3 linked regions of the Schizosaccharomyces pombe genome follow. The protein of the gene in region 1 purifies or fractionates together with the protein of each later gene. This does not show direct contact. Each region holds a gene or a part of one and is shown in the gene's direction. Other genes may lie near its edges. The genes, in order: ekc1, elp4 and kap109.

Evidence for each region.
Region 2: the proteins of ekc1 (region 1) and elp4 purify together in Schizosaccharomyces pombe (affinity purification with mass spectrometry, with the first as the bait; one study listed by BioGRID). This does not show direct contact.
Region 3: the proteins of ekc1 (region 1) and kap109 purify together in Schizosaccharomyces pombe (affinity purification with mass spectrometry, with the first as the bait; one study listed by BioGRID). This does not show direct contact.

The regions. Positions count from the first base shown.
Region 1 is NC_003421.2:1,625,115-1,634,071, reverse strand, and holds ekc1 (protein phosphatase regulatory subunit Ekc1), read left to right. Parts: upstream 1-4,697; 5' UTR 4,698-4,951; coding exon 4,952-7,453; intron 7,454-7,510; coding exon 7,511-7,525; 3' UTR 7,526-8,085; downstream 8,086-8,957. Other genes in the region: wtf element Wtf15, read right to left, coding at 130-206, 266-322, 362-598, 646-903, 1,109-1,247; wtf element Wtf14, read right to left, coding at 2,722-2,741, 2,805-2,867, 2,908-3,159, 3,209-3,433, 3,505-3,634; tRNA dihydrouridine synthase Dus4, read right to left, coding at 8,390-8,957. UniProt on the Schizosaccharomyces pombe protein: Has a role in chromosome segregation. May provide a dynamic connection between kinetochore microtubules and kinetochore chromatin.
Region 2 is NC_003421.2:1,460,822-1,467,806, reverse strand, and holds elp4 (elongator complex subunit Elp4), read left to right. Parts: upstream 1-3,416; 5' UTR 3,417-3,468; coding exon 3,469-4,554; 3' UTR 4,555-4,821; downstream 4,822-6,985. Other genes in the region: translation initiation factor eIF2B alpha subunit Gcn3, read left to right, coding at 1,801-1,954, 2,012-2,151, 2,207-2,649, 2,746-3,034; nucleoside diphosphatase Ynd1, read left to right, coding at 5,580-6,985. UniProt on the Schizosaccharomyces pombe protein: Component of the elongator complex, a multiprotein complex which is required for multiple tRNA modifications, including mcm5U (5-methoxycarbonylmethyl uridine), mcm5s2U (5-methoxycarbonylmethyl-2-thiouridine), and ncm5U (5-carbamoylmethyl uridine).
Region 3 is NC_003423.3:1,309,325-1,318,038, forward strand, and holds kap109 (karyopherin/importin beta family nuclear export signal receptor Kap109), read left to right. Parts: upstream 1-3,882; 5' UTR 3,883-3,906; coding exon 3,907-3,964; intron 3,965-4,013; coding exon 4,014-6,859; 3' UTR 6,860-7,051; downstream 7,052-8,714. Other genes in the region: SWI/SNF complex subunit Sol1, read right to left, coding at 1-2,400; ips1 (GIDA family tRNA uridine 5-carboxymethylaminomethyl modification enzyme), read right to left, coding at 7,052-8,714. UniProt on the Schizosaccharomyces pombe protein: Export receptor for importin alpha. Mediates importin-alpha re-export from the nucleus to the cytoplasm after import substrates have been released into the nucleoplasm.

The DNA.
Region 1 (8,957 bases):
CGACCATACTTAAACTTCCAAATTAAAGCATTATGATTGCAAAGTTACTCCATTGCGTTGAATATTTCGTGAAAAGAGATTTTGAGAAAAGCGCTTCGCGACTATTGACAGTACCAAGCAATAATGAAACTAAACTAGGTCTTCGGGACTTGTTTCATTCAATTGATTGTAGTTATTTTCAAACGCATTTTTTCCGCCACCAAGAGCTTAATATCGTTAATAGAAAATTCTTTGCAAGAAATATCTCATTATTTATAGAACATACATTTAATCCATGCCACGGTATTTATGAACAAATGAGTGCTGCATGATCTGAGTTGTACTGTATTATTAATATAACTAAATTATTACAATAACGAACCTGATTCATTTAAGCAAAAAGAGATGCATGATACAGGAGTGAGAATGCTAGATAATGTTGAGCATTTCCATCCCCATTTATCACCAGAAAGAAGAACTAAAAAATGTTCAATCGTTTTCAAAAGCCCATAGAAAACAAAAGTTTTTAAAAATGCACACACAATGTATTCCTTCTTGAAAGGGCTTATCACTTTTTTCAAAAAGTGCTTCACAGTCTTGGTCCAAGTTTCATAGTAGTCTGAAGAGTTAGTGAATGAACTGATAACATCCTCACAATTTGCTTACAAATTGAGCCGCTAAACAATATCACAGAGATTATACCGAATATAACCAAAAAAGCTATAAGGAAAGTGTGTGTGTGCTCAAAAGGAAGCACGCAACCAAGCACAACAATTGCAAAATAAGAATAATAAACAATACAAAAAGAGAACTTCAGAAGTAGACTATGGCTTGTGGGCGATTGCGTAGATCCTGTATTACTTTCGATGCTGTGATCTGGAGTTTCTGAAGCTTGAGACACAGGATTAGCGGACGTCAGAATATCTGAATGCATTAGTAAATGCTGAAACTTCAAACATTAACAGGAATTTATATTATATTTGAAAGAAAAAAAAAGCTCACCGCGCTTAGAATCGAAAATTTGAGTAAGTCGAATGTAACCAAATAATCACAAACATGTTATTTTTAAATAACATCAAGATACAGTTTTTACTATAATGTTTTCTTTCATATTAACAACATAACGTACCTGAATTTGAAGGCAATGTGCTTTTCTCCTCCGAATTGTGCTCTGAAGGTGGGCTTCCTTCCAAGTCAATTTCATGTCCTGCCTTCAATCCCATTTCTTCATCTAAAGAGCTGCTTAAGGAAGTATAATTATTGCTCATCTTATTAAATGGAGGTAAGATATACTCAAAAATATACCAATTGCTGGGATTGCGACAAACGTAAGAGCTATTAAGAAAACCTCTTTTATCAACAATTCAATGTAGAGCGGCGATCAATAGACCTCTAAAAAAGAACTAACTGTTTCTTTTAGCTTCTCAACTAGTATCAGAAAAAAAAAATCTTTCAAAACCCATCTCTAAAATGCGATTTCCTCTTACATACCCATTTTGTCACTGCTCCTTTTATAACGTGCAACGAAAATACTATTATTAATTTTATGTCAGCAATACTACACTACGCTATGATACACTACGTTGCGTATCACTATATGTCATATGTTGGAATACTAGCTAAGATCCGTTTATTGATAATCACGGGTAACTATTCGTCTATATACATAGATACCCGTTGATAACAACTATTTAGAAATATTATAAATAGAGTTACAACTGAACTGAGGAACGAGGTTCAGTTATGAGCTATATTAGTGATAGGTAACATTATAATCCAGTTAATACAATACCTATACTCAGTTGCTACTTATACAACCTGTGTATTGTAATATAATAGACCACAAGGAAAACTCACCGCAGCTCTACGTATCCTTAAATCAGATACCAAACTGCGTAGCTTACATTTTATATCAATTAGCAAACTCTAACATATTTTTAGGTACGACTTTATTTTGCACTATTCAGTAAACAACCAAGAAATCATTGTGTGCTTAATGAGTTAAAAAGAAATATCCTATTCACATTGACTGACCAAAATTAAAAATTAATTTAGTAGCTAATAAAGGAGTTTATACGGTCCGAAATGGAATGAGTTAACCATTGTTGAATTTCAGCTTCGTCTGTTGGTCTAATAATTGGTATATCAACCGTTATTGAACTATTTGACTAGGGAAAAAAAAGTAATCATCAACAAATACATTCCCATAACAAACAAAGAATTCTGTTGCTTTCATGATTATCATAAACCGGATCTTTGAAAATTAATCATATGAAACTGCTGATATCCAGAGACTTTAATGTGCTTTCAGCGTATTATACGAATGAGGAGCCAACCCCATAGATGAACAAATAAGAAAACTTTCTTTTAAATAAACATTTGAATATCGTAAACATTTTAACAGCCCTTTAGCAAATGTTTGAAAACATTAAATCACCGCAAAGGGTCTTCCTTTACAGTCCAAAAACTACAACACTCAACGAAAGATGTTTTAAAGGTGTCGACTGGCAATTAAGACAAATTTTTAAAAAGAAATAACGCAAGCAAGGGTGCTTCACGCTATTATGATCTCATTAGTTTTATCAAATTTGACAATTCTAAAGAGGAAGATTATTAGCAGATAGTAATCGAAATACAAACGCTTCTTTCAATATAGAATCGTTTGAATACACATGTAGCATATTAAACCTTTTCCAAAAAATAACGGATAACATTCTCAGCATTGCATTTGTTCAAAACTCATTAGTTTCTATTTAGGATATCTAGTTTGGTAAGTGAGACGAATTGGAAAATGAACATCGAGATTGATGAATTTAGCAGCATACCCCTAATAGCAAATAAGCAATCACAGTACTTATTAAAAACTCTAGTGAATAAACCAGGATTTTCTTGTAAAGTTAGCATTTATCAGAATTTTGAAGAACGAACCAATTTCAATTATAAAATATGCCACGTTTAGCATAACACCAATGACACGCTCCACCAACGGGCATCCCAGTCTCCATTGCTCAAAATGACTTCTAAAAAACATAAGGAGGGGAATGGCAAATGCATTAACAAAAGTCAACTTGAGAATAGCATATAGCATATTTACTCCCCGTTTTTGGGGAAAAGATCTTATACCTGCTCCGCAAGCGACAATAACTTCCTTGATACTCCTGAACCATGTTTCATATGTTGCTATAGAATTAGCAGCTGCATACTGATAGTAATCACATAGTCCACTTACCGAGTAAAAGCCACATCGAAAATATGTTAATTCCACCATTTCCCAATCCAAATAGCACCCGATCTTTAGTTGAAAAGTTTGCAAACACGAGATATTTAAACAAAGCAATATTTATTACGAAAACAGGAAGAAGTACTGCTGGAATTTTTGTCGACCAAGCCGTACGAGTATCAGCAACCTTAGAAGCTTCCATCACTTTATGATCAGCAGGTCTGGAAGTTTTCACTTTTACGTTAAAATTGCTATCTTTTTGAATATGAAGTTCTTTTTCTTCCCAACGAGGGTATTTTTCTTACCTAAAGACTGAGGTATAGTGGCTTCCTCGACCACAGTGTATTGTGAGACCTGAGTTTCGTGCTCGCCTTTTCCACGTTTAGGATTCAATTCATCCAAAGAATCCTTAGCCAAATGATGATTGTTTTCCATAATGAGCGATAAAAAGAGGTTGATCAAAAAATGCGCCGGTTGATATAACTGCGTAAACAAACAAGCAAGGTCCTTTCAAATTATCGCAATTTCAGATCTTACAAAGTTATACTAAGCAGAGAATTACAAAATTGAAAAATTTCGAATCAATTGCTTAAAACAAAGAATATTCAAAAATAGGAACCAAAAAGCTGATTTAGGAGGTAGATTACTTCTAACATCCGCATTTTAAGAAGACTAGCAGTATTCCTAAGTTACATTATATGCTATAACGAACACTTTGAAGCAATCTTATATCTGGAAATGCGAAAAATAATACAGTCAATTGATCGTCAGTAAATGCATTATCGATACAGATTAGTCCTTGCCATGGATTGACTTCTGCAGTATAGGAGAGTTAAGTTAACTCCTATTTAGGAGCTTTTATAACCGTAAATAAAATACTCTTTTAAAACTTTTAAGCTAAAATTTTTCTTTTGTGAAATTATCTGCTAAGGATATCTACCGATTTACAACGTGATACTTATAGATTTCGCTAACAGAAAACTGGTGAACTACTGTAATGTCAACTTCAGTATATCGAATAATACAGTACGTTCCGTATCGTTATATATCACATGTTCTGTTATCTATCCGCTATCTTATGATACAACATAGCACAAAAAGATTTGCTGATTTTTCCAAAAGAAAGTTTTAGATTAATAAACATACTCTAGATAGAGCCTAGCTGGAATTCGTTAGTACAGTTAAGTATTGAGCTTTTTCAGTGATTAGCTGCCAAACGTCCCCTTTGTATAAGAATATCAGCATTACCTGTTACCCATATTACCTGTGTATCAAAATATAATATGTATCAAGCAACCCCACCACCGTTTACCATATCCCTAAATTTGATTGCAACACGCTATTTCCACGGTATAATTGATTGCGCATTACACTAGAATAGCCAATGTTTTTACATCGCTTCCTAAAGCCGCAGTAAAGAGACAATTGGCTTTCCCCCACCTCTCCATATGGAAGAACGAACTACGTAGGATTCACCATTCACACTTATCTGCCCTTCGCCAACAGCTTAAAACCGCAACTGTCTGTTTTGGAAGTAGTAATAGAGGAAAAACTTCAAAATTGAGACTCTTTGATACTCATATTTAAAACCGCAGACATTGATTATCTATACAGTGAAGGGCACGGCTCAAGAGTACCGCCGTAAAACAAGAACGCAAAAGGGGAAGCCTTTACCTAAGAGCTTCGCCGTTTAAGCCTTGGGAAGTATAAACATAGCTTTGACTTACATACATTTTAAAGGAAGTGATAGAAATGTTTTGGAGATTGGGCCAGGGATTTGGATTTCAAAGCTCAAGCGCCATTGAGGCGATTTTGGATAAACCGGAAGATGAGATTAATTTAAAGGAGTTGTTAGAAGAGAATGGGGTTTTGGACGAATGTAAAAGCCACAACCCCAAACTTTTAGAATACCTTTGCAAGCCGGAAGTACTTAGCCAGCTGATTGATTATATTTTGGAGGTTGACGAAACAGAGATACCTTCTGCCGATGGTGGTTATGAAGAGCCGGAACATACCAGACTTTCCTACATAGCGAGTGAAATCCTCAGTAGCGACGTTTGGTCCATCTGTGAGGCTTGTGTGGAAAATAAGACATTGATGGTGAAACTTTGGTCCTTTTTGGATAGCGAGGGCCCATTAAACCCATTGCAAGCATCATACTTTGCAAAGGTCAATGAACATTTTCTGGATAAAAAAACCGAAGAAACGGTTGCCTTTATCCAATCTATTGATAACTTTGTAGAAAAGATCCTCCGTCATGCGGAAACAAGCGCAATCATGGATCTGTTGCTCAAATTCATTTCAATGGATCGTTGCAATACTGCTATTGGAATTGCTGACTGGTTGTATTCGCAGGGATTAATACAATCCTTACTGCGTCTACTTAGCCCATATGTGGATCCCGACGTCCAGTTTACTGTTGCTGATGTTATAAAAGCAATTATCGCTATTTCTGCCAATTCTAATGAACCCGGAGTTATTGGACCTAACTCCCTTTCACGAGAACTAGTATCCAGACAAACAATAACTACACTAACTGATTACATGACCGATTCTAAAGCTCCTCACTCTGCCACTTCTCTTATTAATGGCGTCAGCATCGTAATAGAACTAATTCGTAAGAACAACAGTGACTACGATGTTACACCCGTTTTGCAAATGCCTCTTGACACGCATCCTCCTACTACCCGTGATCCTATTTACCTTGGGACCATGTTGCGTCTTTTCGCCGAAAAAATTCCTGTCTTTCAAAAAATCCTCCTTAAACCTTCCACCGAGTCCGACCTCATGCCCACCAGTTTTGGTAAGATCAAGCCTTTAGGTTTTGAACGTTTCCGAATTTGTGAACTTTACGCCGAGTTGCTTCATTGTAGTAATATGTCCCTTCTTAGCGATCCTAATGGTGAAGCCATGGTAATGCAGCGTGACCATCTTCGTGATTATCTTTTCCGCCATAATAGCTGTGCACGTGATCTTGTCATGAGCGACGAGGACGATGATGATTCTACTTTTTCCGATAAAAATTCTAAAGATTTTAAGGAAACTGAAGACATGAACGGGGCTGAAGATATGCACGGTCGTGCTCCGCAAATCACTAAGGATAACCTTAATTTGACTACTACTGATTCCCCAATGTCCGAGGCTGAACCCGTTAGTGAAGAAGAATACAAGGACGTTATGGAAACCGCTAAAGCACTACACCATGGGGACGATGATGCGGCTTCTGATACTTCTTACGAACCCCTTCCGGAAAGTGTTATTGAGGATGCTAAAAAGCTCCCTGTTATTGGCGATTTTCTAAAGATTGAATTTATTCAAAATAATGTAATTCCGACTATTCTTGATCATTTCTTTGATTATCCTTGGAACAATTTTTTACATAACGTTGTATATGATGTTGTTCAGCAGGTGTTAAATGCTCCTATGGACAAAGATCAAAACTATGCACTTGCCGTCGATATGTTTAAACAAGGGAAAATCACTGAAAAGATTGTGTACGGCCAAGAATTGAATGATAAAAAGGTAGCTAAACCTAGCGGATTTCGGGCTGGATATATGGGTCATCTAACCATAATTGCTGACGAAGTTGTGAAGTTTGTAGAACATTATTCTTCTACCTTTGATCAGGAATTGCTAAATCTTATCAATGACGAAAAATGGCAAAATTTTGTAAATAAGACGTTAGTAGAAACGAGGAACCGTGATAATCAATTATTAGGAGGCTTGGAACCCTCGATGGTGGGCTATTTGGAAGACATGGACGAAGGAGAGATGTTGGACGCCAACAATTTACCTGAAATGCAGTTTGCGCTGGAGCAAGAATTGGAAAGCAATAGCAGTGATGACGATGTCGTGGAAGTTCATCGTGAGCTATCGCATAATTCGTCTTCTAATGACGAAGATGATGGTAATGATGAAGACCCGCTGTCTCGTGAGATGTCGCGACGACTTAGTTTTGAATCAGCTAACGATAGTGATCAAGACAATCGCGATCATTTTGCTCAGTACATGTCTCAGCAAATATCCGATAACAACGCCAATCAATTTAGTAGTTCTGATGAGGACGACGATGACGACGATGAAGTTGTTGAATGGGTTTCGCGCGGAAATGAAAACAAGTATCCGCGATCTAATTTTTTTATTAACGGTTCAGATCGAGAAGACTTTTCAGACAGTGAAGAAGAAGATGGTAATGACAGTTCTGACGATGATCGCGGTTTTGCAGAAGAGGAGTACTCTGATGGTCTGGTTCTCGTAAGTTATAAGTTTGCTAATCCTTGTATGGATATGTATTTTACTAACAGCATATAGAACCATGGTAAATAGTTCTCATTTTCCTCTTAAATTTTTTAATCTTAGCAGATTAGACGTCTGTAACTAATATCTAGAAGTTCGAGTTCAAAATCTTTGCTGAACAGCATTAGAGGCTGGAAACTACTATTTAGTATAGTTTGAAGGATGCGTTACTACGTGAAGTTTTAACAACCTCTAAGATGCATTTTCTTCATCTTTACCTTGTGGTTTCTACTATTTTATTTTAGCTTCGTACTGTTAAAAAGAAAATGTACTAATATTTTGTCATGCATTCACTTCTTCGTTTTAATCGGTTTTTCTCTTCATTCTATTTTATTTCTATCTCTACAATTTCATTTTAAGTCCGTTATGCTATCTGGTTTATAACACAGTTGACAGAAATATGAATTGATCAATATTTTTTACTGATACCAATTCTGCTATGCCATGGTGGAGATAAGACAAACAATTGATAAAACAAGGAAATGCCGTTGTTGAAAAAACGCATTTTTTAATTATCGAGATATCAGTTTCGCAAGCTGTTTCAAGAGTACAATTTCTCTTAATAAAGTAATGTAGATAGCGTTGATTGTACTGTGTAATAGAATTCATAATATTCAAGAGATAAAGACGGAAGGGAATTGTGAAAAGTGTAACAAATGAGTATGACTAAAAATGTAAAGTAGTAATGAACAAGGTCGGGGGATTCTAATTCTGGTAAAGAACAACAGATAAAATACAATGATAAACCATAGACTTCTAAAACACCTAAAAAAAACAATAACTATAAAACGTTGGCAAATTGAAGTAATTGTATCGATTGATCCCTGCATAAATTGATTACAGAAATCACTTCATATTTACAATGCCAACTAATAAACAAACAATGAGTTGAGATTAATAGCGGCGACAAGGCAATACCGATTCTCCAAACATGGGTTCATCGGGTCTCCGAACAACGAAATGCTCATCTAGCCAGTCCATGACACTAGCAAAACTATCTTTCGGTATAGTCATTCTTTCACGCTTAGTAGTCATTTGCCCCATCATGGTAGTCAAATGGTGATAGAATAAATGGAAATTTAGAGAATAGGATGTAGAATACCAAAGAAATCGCTCCACGCAGCCCCAAGGCGTTTCTTCATATCCAGCGAAAAGCGCAGGGTTTTCTAACAAACCACGAGCAGACATGATGCCTTGGGTTTCTGTATATTTAGCAATCTCAAGACCCTTACGGAGACTTTTAACATCACCATTTGCAACGACAGGAATTTGGACACATGGGCGAACTTCTCGAATTGCATCCAAATTGACAGGGAATGAAGAGCGATCTTGCCGAGTGCGACCATGAACAGTAATTATATCAGCTCCAGATTTTTCAATGACTTGCATCAGGTGCCGAGTTTTATTTAAGTCTTTGGCAATTCTTATTTTGACTTCGGTACAGAAGCTTTCACCCAAGGTG
Region 2 (6,985 bases), 160 kb from region 1:
TTTAATATCAGATACTACACAAAACATTTTCTGATAATCATAAAACATAAGACATTTTCAACTTGCATCTTAACTAAGCCAAATTCTACATCAATGTTATAAATTTTAGCATTAGCCATATTGGGGGAAATCGAAAGCTATTGATATTTTTATAATTGCAAAACGATTTGATAATGTAGAGAAGATATTGGAATATGTTACTCTCATCGATGAGCAGAATTAAAAGCTATGGGAGATAACGACTATTGCTATTGAAAACAAGAACTAGGCACGCAAAGAAATATATACCTTCTTTACTATAGTGCATGGTATTAGAGTTACTTAAAAGATTATTTTAACAACTTGCCGATCACGAGGTGATTCACAGATTTATAGCATAAATGAAAACCTACGGATGTCTAGCAATAAAGTTAGGATTTTACTGAAATTCGAGTCGACAACTAAAACATAATATTTTTGTAGCATCGCTTTGAATGATTGAGCATGTAAATATTTAGATATAATTGAAAGCATAGAAATTATCATAAATGATTTTCTTTAGATGCTGAAAGTAATAGCGTTTTTTCTATACCAGTTTAGTGTTCGCGTCATCCATAAATACCGAAGTAAAATCAAGCTTAATATAAGCGAGATTTACGAAGGTTGGACTAAAGATTAGTTTCTCGTAGAAATGGTCATGAACTTTTGAAAGGTCTCTTAAACATAAAATAGTTTTTTAAAAAACTTTCTATATTACTTTTTACCAAATCCAATTACTGCTTTCATCAGTACTCCTTTTTTTTTAAAATGGAAGCGTTTTGACATATTTCGTTCATGATACGCTCAACTATTAGGAACATAGTAAATTATACTACAAATTCACTATCTATACAATGATAAGTATCGTTGAACGTTACATATTGGAAATCAACAGTCAAGCATTGTTTACTGATCACCGAGGAAGAATTTCATGATTATCCTCAGATGTACTCAGTCAAGAATATGATATTAAAATTATTCTCAATATTTAGCTTTAATTAAATATAAGCTATTTAATAAACCAATTTATATGTAAATACCATTCAAATCACCTACATAAATATCTATAGGAACATATCTGTAGATCAGTATCCAAAACGCCGTATAATGTCAGCTACGCAGTTTGGTATCTGCTTTAACGATACGAAAAACTGGTGAATTTTGCATATGATCCATTATATTATAATAGCCGGGTTATATAAGTAATGACTAAGTACTGGTATTGTACTATTTAGGTTATAATGTCACCTATCACTTATAACTGAACTGCGAAATGAGGTTTAGTTGTATCTCTATCGATTCTATCCAAATAATCTATCTGTTAATATAGTATTATCAATATCAATCTCGACATCGCATCATCTACGTTGCGTATCACTATATGTCACATGTTCTAATTATATATCGTACCATGTATGATACGATATTGAGATTGATCTTAATGATAATCTATTAAGATCTATATTATCTGAATAATATAAATAGAGCTACTGCTGAACCTCGTTCCTCAGTTCAGTTATGAGCTATATTAGTGATAGGTAACATTATAACTCAGTTAATACAATACCTATACTCAGTTGCTACTTATACAACCTGTGTATTGTAATATAATAGATCACAAGGAAAACTCACCGCAGTTCTACGTATCCTTAAATCAGATACCAAATTGCGTAGCTTACAATTTAATACAAAAAGGCATTGCCCGTTATTTGATTTTGTTGGATATCCTTAAAGTATGGAAAAGATGTTGCTACTAAGCAAGAGCGTCTAGCATCTGCGAATATGGTGGAATCGGATTCTTCGGGAATCGTTCGACATTCTCAAGGAGAATTTGACATCGTCCAGGTTTACAAAAAATTTTTGCAAGATGATCCAGAAATCACGATGCCTGTAGCCGCCATTGAGGCTTTAGTCCAGCTTTTGTCGCGCTCTCAAGGTATGTTAATTTGTAGTACTCATGTGAGAAATGAATTTACTGATGTTTTTCTATTAGCCAAGACAATTTCAGAATTTATGGACATTTTACAAAATGGCTCAAATACGCTGAAGGAAGGCGTTCAAAACAACATTTCGCTTTCAGCTGGTTGTGACATTTTCCAACGGTTTGTCACTCGATCACTACACGATGTCGGGGTATGTGTTGATGCAAAGTAGTTTTCTTTTCTTTACTAATTCTCCACGGCTTTAGGATTTTGAGCAATGCAAACGTCACTTGGTAGAAAATGGAAAACTCTTTATTCAGCGTGCTCGTGCTTGTCGACAAAGAATTGCACATTTAGGTTACCCTCTTATTCGAGATGGTAGTGTTATTCTTACCCATGGGTTTTCACGCGGTGTTGCGGCTGTTCTTTTGGCTGCTGCCAAGCGTCACGTTCGTTTCAAAGTTTTTGTCACAGAATCAAGACCTAGCGGCTCAGGCTGTCTAATGACGAGAACATTAAAAAATGCTTGTATTCCTACTTGCATGGTTTTGGATTCCGCTGTAAGCTTTACTATGAACCGTGTAGATTTGGTCTTGGTTGGCGCAGAAGGTGTTGTCGAAAACGGAGGACTCATTAATCAAATCGGTACTTTCCAACTTGCCGTTTTTGCCAAACATGCACATAAGCCCTTTTACGCAGTTGCAGAAAGGTACGTAAACGTTGAATCCATTCAGCTTACAATTATTTTTCCCTATGATCTCTCCATTTCCCTGTTAATTTTAAAATTTGTACTAACGTTTTTTAGTCATAAATTCGTGCGTATGTTTCCCCTTTCTCAATATGATATTCCCTTTAGTCGTCCTATTCTGGAATTTGATGATCCATCTCCTGAAACTGTTCATCCTGAACCTGAACCAATTCCAACTCCATCAGATGCTATTCATAACGAGCTGATCATGAATGAAGAACAAATTCGAAATAATCCTACTTTGGATGTTACACCACCCGAATTTGTCTCAGGTCTCATTACCGATTTAGGGATCATTGATTCGAAGAGTGGGGTAAGCGAAGAGCTAATTAAATTGTATCTTTAGCAATCAGATTCTCCTGATCTTAAAAATAAAATATGAATAGATTGTACTTTGAGTTGACTTAAATTTCTCATAAGTCTTGTCCAACTAGATTCGGATTGAAAGTAATCTTCAAAAATACAACAGTAATACATTTTCCGATCATGCTAATTGACTGTACGACGTAACATTTTCTATGTTATTTTGTAGTATTACAATATTATTTTTGTTTCAATGCGCCCACTAGTGAAATTTTATTATTAGTTCAACAAAATTTATCTAAAAGGTATTTTTATTGAATGATTAACTTTAGTCAACAATTTTTTATTTTCTCAATCGCAACGCTGAATTTCTTTGTTTTCTGACTGATGATGCTTAAATGTGTGCTGCAAATTTGCGTCGCGTTAACCTTTCCATCCAATTTGCTATTCCACGTACACCAATCGAAATAAGTATTGATGTCGTTCAAAAGGAAAGCAGCACCTCAAATAGCACCAACAAACTTGCCGACAGGCGTTAGACTATCTTCAAAGGATGCTAGATGGATTACAAGCTCTGGGAGTTCTTCTTTTGACTACTATTTGTCTGGCGGCATTCCAATGAAAAGTTTGCTGGTTATAGAGGAAGATTCGATGGATTATGCTTCTGTGCTACTTAAATTTTTTGCAGCGGAAGGCCTTAAACAGGACCATGTTATTTGGCTTGGTCCATCTATTGGAGAGATGTGGTTTCGTCAACTTCCAGGCGACAGCGACCGGCCTAATAAAAACGAAAATTCAGCTGGAGAGGATAATCATTCTTCTCCTCCCTCTAAAAATCCCCAGCAAGAAAGAATGAAAATTGCCTGGAGGTATGAACAAGTCTCCAAAACCAAGGCACCGACCCTTGATATGATTCCTCCTGGCTATACTCACTCCTTTGATTTGTCAAAGAATTTGATAGTGAAAAGCGATATGAAATACGCTGTTTCTCCATTCCCTTTGGAAACAGGGTCTAATCCTTACGCCCCTGTCATTGAAAGTCTAACGAGATTCTTATCTACTCTGACTCCAGGTACGGTATGCAGGTTAGTTCTTCCATCCATTTTGTCCCCAGCCTTCTATTCTATCCGTGCTACTCATCCGCAGCATTTCATAAGATTTATTCACACACTTTCATCGCTCATCAAATGCACTACTTCGGTGCACTTGATATGTATGTGTTCAGTTCCTTCTACTTTGTTTTCAAGAGATTGCGAGCAAATTTTTTGGCTAGAAAACCTTGCATCCGCCGTATTCTCTTTGCATCCTTTCCCGGTCAAAGAAACTGTTAACGGTTTAGTTACACAACCATTAGGACTTTTCCGTATCCATAAGCTTCCCTTAGCACTTCCATTTACCAATCATGCAAACTCTAATGAAGCTGGAGACCTCTCATTTACTGTATCGAAAAGAAGATTTACCATTGAACCATGGGTCCTTCCTCCACTGGATGATGAGCAAAAGGATACGAAGATTTCAAACACGAATCCTCAAAAACAGCCTGTTAAATCTTTGGATTTTTAGACAATTAAAAAACCTCTAAGTTTCTGAGTATTGAATTGGATTAAAATTCTACTCGTTTTCGTGTTATGTGATATGGTTATGGTTTGTAAATGGATTTTATAATTTTTTTTGGATGCATTGCATTTGTGTTATTTATTGTTCATACGAGTTTAAATATTTTTCATTTCTCCCGTCTAGATAACTGATCAATTATCTAAATGTTCGTCAAATGGGATAAACGTTCTCTCAATCAAAACTTTAAAACACAAGTTAATATAGAATGCGAACTGAAAGCCGTCAAATATCTCTACGAAGAACCGTTACTGTGATCTTAAAGCAAAGTGCATGAAATACTTGTAAGTAAATGACATTTTAAATCTTAAACAGTGTTAAACCGTTGAAATTTGAAGGATACAATTATTTTCTCTATTAAAACAGTTCTGAAGTAAATTGTTGATGATTGTTATCAAAACATTGTCAATCTGTTGGTACTAACAGTATTTGACATCTAAGCAAATTAAAGAGACAAATCAAAAAGTTTTCGCGTATTCGATTTTTCTCTTTAATTCTAGTCGCATTATCTTTTAAGTCAAGTGACCAAAATTAATGTGATTATTCCAATAGTCCGTATGAATGGGTCCTTAAATTCGTCTCAATTTACTTTTTTTGCATTTTGACAGAGTTCACTATATAGTGATTTACCACCTAAAAATGTGCTACCTATACATTCGCTAGTTGTTAAACATTGAGTTGAATGTTCATAATCCACTACAAACGTTCATTCAATGTTTCAATTAAGTTAAATAGAGGTTCATTGATAAGACAGATACATATATTTAACTGAATTTTATTGATGTATATCTTGGGAACATATGCCATATTGAAATTGTTCACATCGCCATAGTGCGCTTTCAACCATCAACAAACAAAAGGCAAATTGGGCTGGTTTGATGAAAATATCCATCTTCAGAGTCGAAGTTATTTAATATCCAGTCTTATAGACAAAGAGACATTTTGTTAAGAAAAATAAGTGCAGGTGGCTAAAAATGGTTCGAAAGTATGGAATTTTCATCGACGCTGGATCTAGTGGTTCAAGACTTCTAATTTATTCTTGGGACTATGATACCGATTCCTCTTTAAGTGATAAAGTAAAAAAATTACCATTAATCGAGACAGGGATTGGGGATGGTGGTAAATGGTCTTTAAAGGTTCAACCTGGAATTTCTTCCTTTGCCAATAACCCTAAGCATGTAGGGAAGAAGCATTTGAAAGAACTCCTGGATTTTGCTGCTCATGCTATTCCCAAAGATGTACATAAAGAAACTCCGGTTTTCCTAAGTGCTACAGCTGGTATGCGTTTACTGGGCGTTGATGCCCAAAACAAAATACTTTCGCATGCTTGTAGATATATTAAAAAGAATTACGATTTCGACATACCTAATTGCTCAAATTCAATCCGTGTAATTGATGGCAAAGCTGAAGGTATGTATGGTTGGCTAGCTACGAACTATCTCCTTAAGACACTTGAAGAAAAAGATACGTCAACGGTTGGTTTTTTAGATATGGGCGGTGCGAGTGTGCAAATTGCTTTTGAACTTCCCCCATCTCAGCTCAAAAATTACAAGGATAGTATTTCGACCGTTCACATAGGACTACAAAATGGTCAGCAATTGGAATATCCTTTGTTTGTTACTACCTGGCTCGGTTTTGGCGCTAATGAAGCTTACCGCAGGTATTTGGGACTGTTAATAGAAAGCGAAAACGGAAAAGTTGGCAACACTTTAAGCGATCCGTGTTCCTTGCGTGGACGAACTTATGATATCGATGGGATCGAATTTGCCGGTACTGGAGATTTGAAACAATGCTTGAAACTGACTTACAATCTATTAAATAAAGACAAGCCATGCTCCATGGACCCTTGTAACTTTGATGGAATATCTATTCCTCCTGTTGATTTTGCAAATACTGAATTTGTTGGGGTCTCGGAATTTTGGTATACGACTAATGATGTGTTTGATATGGGCGGTAGCTATCATTTCCCTAATTTTTACAAAAAAGTTGACGAGTATTGTGGTACAGAGTGGGAAACCATGCTTTCCCGTCTTTATAATAAAGAGCTGACTCCAAGTACTGATGAAAACAAGCTTGAAAAGCTTTGTTTTAAAGCATCATGGGCGTTGAATGTCCTTCATGAAGGATTCGACGTTCCCAAGTCAAATACAAGTAGTAATGATGCAAAGGATGGGCTCTCGGTAATTCCTGCGTACCATTCTCCATTCACGAGTTTAGAAAAAATAGAACGCACCGAAGTGAGCTGGACCTTAGGCCAAGTATTGCTTTATGCATCAAATCAGCAACTTCTAGCAAAACCGGAATATGCTAATTATTATATGGACCCATACGGAAAGCTAATCGCATCCCCTTCAAAACATTGGATGAGGTTATTTCCTAA
Region 3 (8,714 bases), on another chromosome or scaffold:
AGATATGCCACTCTGAATCACATAACGAAAAGGATTCGTAGTAGGATACTGCGATGCTACACGTGATGGTGGATTAAGGGAAGGATGACCTGATAATAGTATGAGTAGGCGTAACATGGAAACAAAAAATCCCTCGCCTATATTACACCAATTTGCCGCTTGTTCCGATTGTTTAACATAGGAAACGGTAGCTGCTAAACAAAAAAATGACTGCTGCAATAAGGGTAACCTTCGCTCGCATATTTTAAGGCAGTGGCGGTTAAATTTTGGGACAACAGAAGCAAGAAGTAGAAAAAGGGAGTCTAAAAATTTTGGATTGTTATCAAAAATAGCTTGAAAGTTTGTCTTGTTGTTAGCATCTTTGGCTAGTAATTTGGCATAGGCATTAATGGCGGGACCAGCATAGGGATGGGTAGCAGGTGTGTAACTAGGTATAGAGGTTGGAAGGGTGTCATTTAAAATAGTTTTACTCTTCTTTCTGTTAAATGGAGAAAAAGACAAAATAAATAGTAAAACGTGACGAGCAACGTCGACATTCGGTAGAATGAAATTTTGAGAAAGTTGACAAAGTACGATTAATACATCTTTATGCAAATCCAAGGTATTTCTTGATGAACGTAGAAGGGAAGTGGCATGAAAATTAAGACTTTTGACTACACGAATGAGTAGAGGAAAAAAATCTGGATTTTGTACCAAAACGTTTTGGTTGGCCTCAAAGTGAGAGAGATTTCTAAAAATAACGAAAACAGCTAACAAATTTTGCTCCGAATTATGAACATCAATAGCATTGATGCTATCTTTTGTTTTGTTTTCGCTTAGTGAATTTGAAAAGTCTTCTCTGGAGAACTGCGATATCTCTACGCAACAATTGTAAAGAAGTTGTCTATAAGAAGGACGTTTATCGGCGATTTCCATTAAATCCTCATTAGGAAGAACAGATAGCAGATTATCAAGGCACTGAGTTGCAACGTCAATCAACGCATCAACTACATCCTGGCACTCACTTAACGGAAACATCCATTTTTGATCATTTGTTAATATAAGTAAAACGTTCATTGCATACGTTATTTCTTTTTCCAAAGTAGATTGCAGGCTCATGCACAAGGCTTGAATGTTTACAGTCCCCAGATCTACGATTGAAGGCATCTGAAGCCGAAGCAAAGATTCATCGAGCCTATACGTGGCCGCGACATTCAAGGGATAACCCAACATAGGATCGATGGGCTTTTTTATCGGTTGATAAGCAACGGGTTCGGCAGAATCAACAGGAGCTGCCGAAGAAGAAGTTTGAACGGTGGGCGGAGTGGGTCGAGTCGGAGCAGAAGGGTATGGTGGAGCATTTCTTTCAGAACTAACTGTGGTAGGAGCAGCTGGAGAGAAACGATTAGCGGTGAATGCTGGGGAGGGTGACTTTGAGTGAAGTGATCCATGCATAGAACCATTGGCATGTACAGCTTCTGGGGTGGTTTGGACCGGCTTTTGTGGATAGTTTTTTGGTCTGCTTTGAACATTCGCAGAATGATTAGCTTTTGCTTGTTGAAGTGATTTTTGTTGCTGTTGAGCAGCAAGCCATGCTTCTTCATATGGAAGCAGATAGGAATTGTAATATTGAATTAGAAGGGAAATAGCATCAGGAGATGGAAACCCCAAGGAAGCAGAAATTTTTGGCCAAAAATTATGAGCTGAGACTTGTCGAGATCCACCGGCACGCATAACCAAGGCGTACAGCATCATTAAATTAATAGGCGTATTATTTATTTGAGGATAAGATTTGATTGGCGTCCCCCGCTTTTCCATAAAAGAAATAAGGCTAACCATGAATTTGTCAAAACTAGCAGCATAAGCAGGCGTTAGTTGATTAGCATTACCAGAGGGAGTATTTGGGGAAGGTGCAGGTTGAGGAGTTTGTCTTACAGCTGGGTGGGCATTGATGCCAATTTGATTAGGAGGAATTTGTTGAGAGAGTAAGGCCTCTCTGCTTTGCATTTGTCGTTGATAAAGTTGTTGCTGCTGTTGCTGTTGTTGTTGCTGCTGCATTGCAGCCTCTTTTTCTTGTTGAAACGGGATCCGACTTGAAGGCATCATGGGACTAGAGTATTTCACAGATCCAGAGCCATTCCATGCACCGTTAGAGGCGAAATCAAATGATTGATTTGGCAAATTACGTTGAGTTGATGGAGATTGTCGGAAGGGCTGTGAATGAGCCAAATTGTTAGGCTCATTCTCGGAAGTATTCATCATGTTTGCATTTCCATATTCTGCTGCATACATCCCTTGGCTTGTCGAAAAGCGTTGAGGATACGCAGGTTGTTCTTCCTGAGTATTATAACTTTGACCTTGCGTGGGATATGATACTGCGGTTGGATAATCACTCGCAGGAACAAACCCTTGATTATTCATGATTCCTCATACTAAATCAAACAAAGAGTAAAGGGACCTTAAAATACACGTTTCAATATATTAACGTCTAAGGCGCTTGGCAGCTGAAAGTGCTTGAAAAGCAGACGAAGTGCATATAACGAGTTGTTTAGTGCTGCCTTTAAGAACCTAATCTGTGTGTTTCAGAAAATGCTTAAATTCCTAAAAAATCTTTACACTCATTCCTTTAAATCTCGCAAACGTGATTTCTTGCCTTTGCAGTGTCTCTTATTTCCAAGTCAATGACAATTGTTAGCATTGGGAAGCATTTATCGATTAGTCAGGTATCTAAAATTTTAAAAACAAAATAATATCTTATTCCTCTTGTAATAGAAACAATATTTATTAACTTGCTCTGTTAGTAGACTTGGCGAAACTGTAAACAATCACGAGTACAACATCTTCTTCTTGCGGAAACAGATATTTTTTTAATAAATTATTTTTTTTTTTTTTAAAATAGTAAAAGCATATGAGTTAACATATTCGAGATCCCGTTATCCTCCTTTTCTTTCTTTTTTTTTTTTTTTTTTTTTTGAAAGGAGCAATCAAAATTGACACATTAATTCAAATTTATCTGGTCTAACCTTTTTTTTATTTTTTATTCATTATTTTTCCTTCTTTCTTTCTGGCTACATAAGACTCGACGCAATGTCATTTTATAAATTTCATTGTTTTCTATAAACGTGCTTTCATATGTGTAAACCTATTGATGAATGAAACAAGATAGTAGAATATGGTAATTTCTATTATCAAGCAATTGGATTTAGGTTGTTGAACTCTATGGACAAGGGCTTGTACGTGTAAAATATATATGTTTATGACTTAATTATTTACTTTTGCAAATCTATGGTTTCAAGTCAACTCGCAAAAGGAATATCCGATTCAAGAAGGAAAAAAACTAAATACTACAATAAAAAAAGGTTTGTAGTATTTGAGATAAAGATGGAGATGCTATATTGCACATGTAGAATTTGATGGCATAAACAAGAATTAGATTTGAAACAAAAGTCAACTAACACAACTTTCAAGTCCACGTATAAAGCGATTTCTATTCTGACGGTTCATAAAATGTTTAATGAGCTTGCAAACTAAAACCAAGTAATTCGGAAATTAGGTATTTACAAGCTGATAATTAAAATGTGAACCCTTGAATTATTGATAATGAATTATAGATTTTATTAGTTTTAATTCCTTTTTTAAGTAATTTATCAAGTATAGTCCAACTATTTATTTACAAATATTGGTATATTAGGGTGTTTTAATAGAAAAAAAAACAAAAATTAAGCGAAGAAAAGTATTACATTAACAAGCCTGAAAAAGAAGCAAACAAACTAATTAAAAGATGTTAACTATATCAAACTTAAGAGAAAATTATTTAATAAATAAAACCGGAATTAAAAATTCTCTATAACGATGTTAGAGAAATTGTTCTAGTTACGTCGGTGTCCTTCAAAATCTGCCCTTAACCACAATCCCTGTAGGAAAACTATGGATGACATTCCAACTCTTCTTGCGAGAACATTAAACCCTACGACTTCCAAAAGTGGTAAGATACCCCAACAGAGTGGATAAAGCAAATTTACTAACTGATATAGCTGAGGAAGCACTGAAAGTATGGGAATTACAAGATAGTTCTTTTGCACTAAAACTCCTCAATATTGTCGCTGAGGATACAGTAGACATCAATATTAAGCTGGCCGCTTCATTGTATTTCAAAAATTACATTAAAAAACATTGGGATTCTGAGGAAGGTGCTTCTATTCGTATCAGCGATGAGGTGGCAGAATTGATCAAACGCGAAATAATCAACTTGATGCTGAAAAGTACTACCATTATTCAAGTTCAGCTAGGTGAAGTAATTGGTTATATTGCCAACTTTGATTTCCCTGATCGGTGGGACACTCTTCTCCCCGATCTGATATCTAAATTGTCTGCTGTTGACATGAACACGAATATTGCTGTACTTTCTACTGCACATGCGATTTTTAAGCGCTGGAGACCTTTATTCCGTAGCGATGCACTTTTTTTGGAGATCAAATATGTGTTGGATCGTTTTTGCGAACCATTTCTCGCTCTCTTCGTGCAAACCAACAACTTATTGCGTAACGGTCCACAAGATGCAGAGTCTCTTAACAGTTTATTTCAGGTTATCCTTTTGGAGTGTAAACTTTTTTATGATTTGAATTGCCAAGACATTCCGGAATTCTTTGAAGATCATATGAGCGAATTCATGACCGCCTTCTTAAACTACTTTACCTACACTAACCCCAGCTTGGAGGGTGACGAAGGAGAGACAAATGTCCTTATTAAAGTTAAAGCAAGTATTTGTGAAATCGTCGAGCTATATACCCTTCGATACGAAGAGGTGTTTACCATGTTGTATGACTTCGTCAACGTAACATGGACACTTTTGACAACCTTGACTCCTGATGAAAAATACGATGGTTTAGTTGGTAAGGCTATGGCATTTTTGACATCCGTCATTAGAATTCGCAAGCATGCCGAGTTTTTCCAGCAAGACCAAGTTTTACAACAATTCATTGAACTCGTCGTTCTTCCTAATATATGTTTGCGGGAATCTGATGAAGAATTATTTGAAGACGATCCTTTAGAATATGTCCGCCGTGATCTTGAAGGTTCGAACAGTGATTCTCGCGCCAGATCCGCAATCGTTCTTGTTCGTGGACTTTTGGATCACTTTGATCAAAAAATTACGAGTGTAGTCTCAACTCACATCAATGCTAATCTTCAACAATTCTCAACAAATCCTTCTCTTGAATGGAATAAAAAATACGTAGCGCTTCAGCTCTTTTCGGCTATTGCTATAAAGGGTCAATCCACAAGACTCGGCGTTACATCTATTAATTTGATGGTAGACGTTGTTGCTTTTTTCGAGAATAATATTAAGCCGGATCTTTTACAACCTGCTGGCGTCATTCATCCCATGGTTCTTGCCGAGGATATTAAATATGTATTTACATTTCGCAACCAGCTAAATTCCCAACAGCTTATTGACATTTTCCCTACAATTTTACGCTTTTTGGAAATGCCCAGCTTTGTCGTTTACACATACGCTGCAATAGCATTAGATCAGTTGCTGACTGTTCGTCATAATCATGTTCATATCTTTACAAGTTTACTAATTGCTCCACACATATTACCCGCTCTAAATCAACTTTTCCTAATTGTGGAATCTGCATCCACACCACAAAAACTTGCCGAAAATGATTATCTAATGAAAGCAGTAATGCGAATTATTATTATGTCTCAAGAAGCCATTCTTCCAGCTGCTAGCCTTCTTCTTCAGCACCTCACAAAAATTACGGAAGAGGTTAGCAAGAATCCTTCCAATCCAAAATTTAACCACTATCTCTTCGAATCTATTGGTGCACTTATTCGTAGTTTATCTAAATCTGGTCCCCAAACCGTCTCTCAACTGGAAAATGCCCTACTTCCAGTCTTTCAAAATGTGCTTATAGAAGATGTTACTGAGTTTATTCCGTATGTCCTACAACTGCTATCTCAATTAGTTGAAGCTAGTGGCAATGAACCTCTTCCTGACTTTGTTGTCAATCTCATACAGCCGTGTTTATCTCCAGCTTTATGGGATTCAAAGGGTAATATACCTGCCTTAGTTCGCCTATTACGGGCAATGATATTTCGTGGTCCTCAGATATTTATTTCCAATAAGTTTGTTGAACCGGTTTTGGGAATTTTCCAAAAATTGATTTCTTCAAAGGTTAATGATCATTTTGGGTTTGATCTCTTGGACCGAGTTTTCACAGTTTTCAATGCTAACATACTTGCGCCTTATATCAACCACATATTCTTTTTGCTGTTAAGCAGATTAAAAAACTCGAGGACTGAGCGTTTCGTTCTGCGATGCACGATTTTCTTCTTTTTTGTTGCTTCTGAGCAAACGGGTACTTGCGGCCCAGATAATTTGATCCAAGGTGTTGATGCAGTCCAGTCTGGAGTATTTGGCCAATTGATGACTTCAATTATTCTTCCTCAAGCACAAAAATTGGCGCTTCCATTAGATAGGAAAATCAGTGCTCTTGGATTACTGCGACTTCTTACTTGTGATCTAGTACTCGCCCCAGACGCAATTTATGAGAATCTTATTATCCCATTATTAACTTGTATCCTCAAATTATTCGAAATGCCTATTGAACAAGCTCAAACAGATGCAGATGAAGAATTGTTTATGGACGAAATCGATGCTGATTCGATGTCATTCCAAGCTTCCTTTTCCAGATTGGCTACTACTGGCGGAAAGAGGGTTGATCCATTCCCTCAAATTACTGACCTTAAGCAGTATTGTGCTACGGAAATGAATCTTGCTAACAGAAATATGGGTGGACGTTTATCTCAAATCATTAGCACGCATCTTCCTGGCGACGGTCAAAGCGTGCTTCAATCATATGGTTACGTGATCTAATATTTATGAAATGAAAATCATCAGAAATCAACTTTCTTGATGTTTTTGTTTAAAAATTTGGGTGTAAATTTAGAAAATAAATGTTTTCATAGAGAAGCATTTATTAAAAATTGTATTTGGTTGTCAAATATTTTTTAAATGAGATTCATATCATTATTTTATCCTATTATATAGTGAAAATTAAGTCGAGAGTTATAAATTTGTAGATTGGTTTTCTTCGCTCGAATGCATATCATACATTGGCATATATACCTTTCGTAACCATGCCTCTTTTGCTGGGTTGTAATATGTATGGCGAAGTAGTCGAATAATAGTTCCTGGTTTAATCCCTTGAATGCGTTTCAGTTGACCAATTGTAGCTGGACGAATCGTCTTCAGCAGCATTAATTCTTCAGCCGAAACAGAATGTAAAGTATCAAAATCAAAATCTGAGGGTATTACTGTAGATTCATCTCTACAATTGAGTTGTTTATTTTGAGTACCTTGACGCTTTATATAATAAGTATACTTTCCCTCAATTATTAAACGTTGTAGTACCCTTTTGGGAATGTCCTTTAGTTTAGGAATGCACGAAATAACACAAAAAAGATCCAAATTTGTGAAGCTCAACAGATCCCAAGCACTTCTATATTTCCCGTCATTAGGAATCGGCATTCCTAGCTTTGACCATTGCTGAGGACTTAAAATGAACTCCTTGGCGATTTTATTGGAAAAATCTAACAAAGATTTAGTTCTTTGAAAGCTTTCCCAATGAGTTTGGTCGTCCAATAAACCTATACTTTGAGCTAATGGAGTCAATCTTAAATCAGCATTATCAGCACGTGTAGTTAACCTATACTCGCTTCTCGAAGTGAACACCCTATAAGGTTCTTTCACACCTTTTGTAATAAGATCATCGACCATTACTCCAAGCAAAGCTGTATTTCTCGGTATGTCTACTGGCTCACGACCAAGAGCACTTAAACCTGCATTTAAGCCAGCTAAGATACCTTGCGCTGCTGCTTCTTCATAACCCGTCGTTCCATTTATTTGACCGGCCAAGTACAAACCCTGAATTTTTTTTGTTTCCAGTGTTGCCTTTAGTTGGGTGGGGATAACATAATCATACATAACTCCATAAGCTGGTCTCACAATATTACAATTCTCCAGGCCTGGAATAGACCTTATTATATTGTGCTGAATTTCTTCAGGCATTGAGTTACTGAGACCATTGGGATACCACCAAGAATTGGGGTCCAATCCTTCCGGTTCCAGCCAAATAAGATGTCTTGCTTTGTGAGGGAATCTTGTAACCTTGGCTTCCAATGACGGGCAATACCTTGGAGAAAGAATATCACCAGCAAGCATATGGGGAGCAAAAGCGAGATTTTTCCTAACAATTTCATGCGTCAATTCAGTTGTATAAGTTCTGTAGCAAGAACGTTGTGGCAATGCCGGTGAAAAATCCCTTTCCAAATTTAAAAAACTAAATGTTTCTGGAATTTCGTCACCTGTCTGCTCTGTCATTTTTGATATATTTATGGGAGAGCTCAATCTGGGAGGTGTACCTGTTTTTAGTCGACCCATTTTAAAACCTAAATTGCTAAGACATTTACTCAAAGGCAATGAAGGTCGCTCGCCATATCGACCAGCAGCTAACTGTGTTAAACCAACATTTATTTGTCCTCCTAAGAAAGTACCAGTAGTAATGACTATACAACTGGCAGGAATAGCAGTGCCATCTTCAAGAACAATTGAATCACAAACTTGTTTACCATCGTCTTCTGTCAAAACATTAATAGAGACGGCCGCGCCTTCTCTAACTTGAAGATTTTTTCTATAAGTTGAAATAGTTTTTTGCATATTTTTTTTGAAG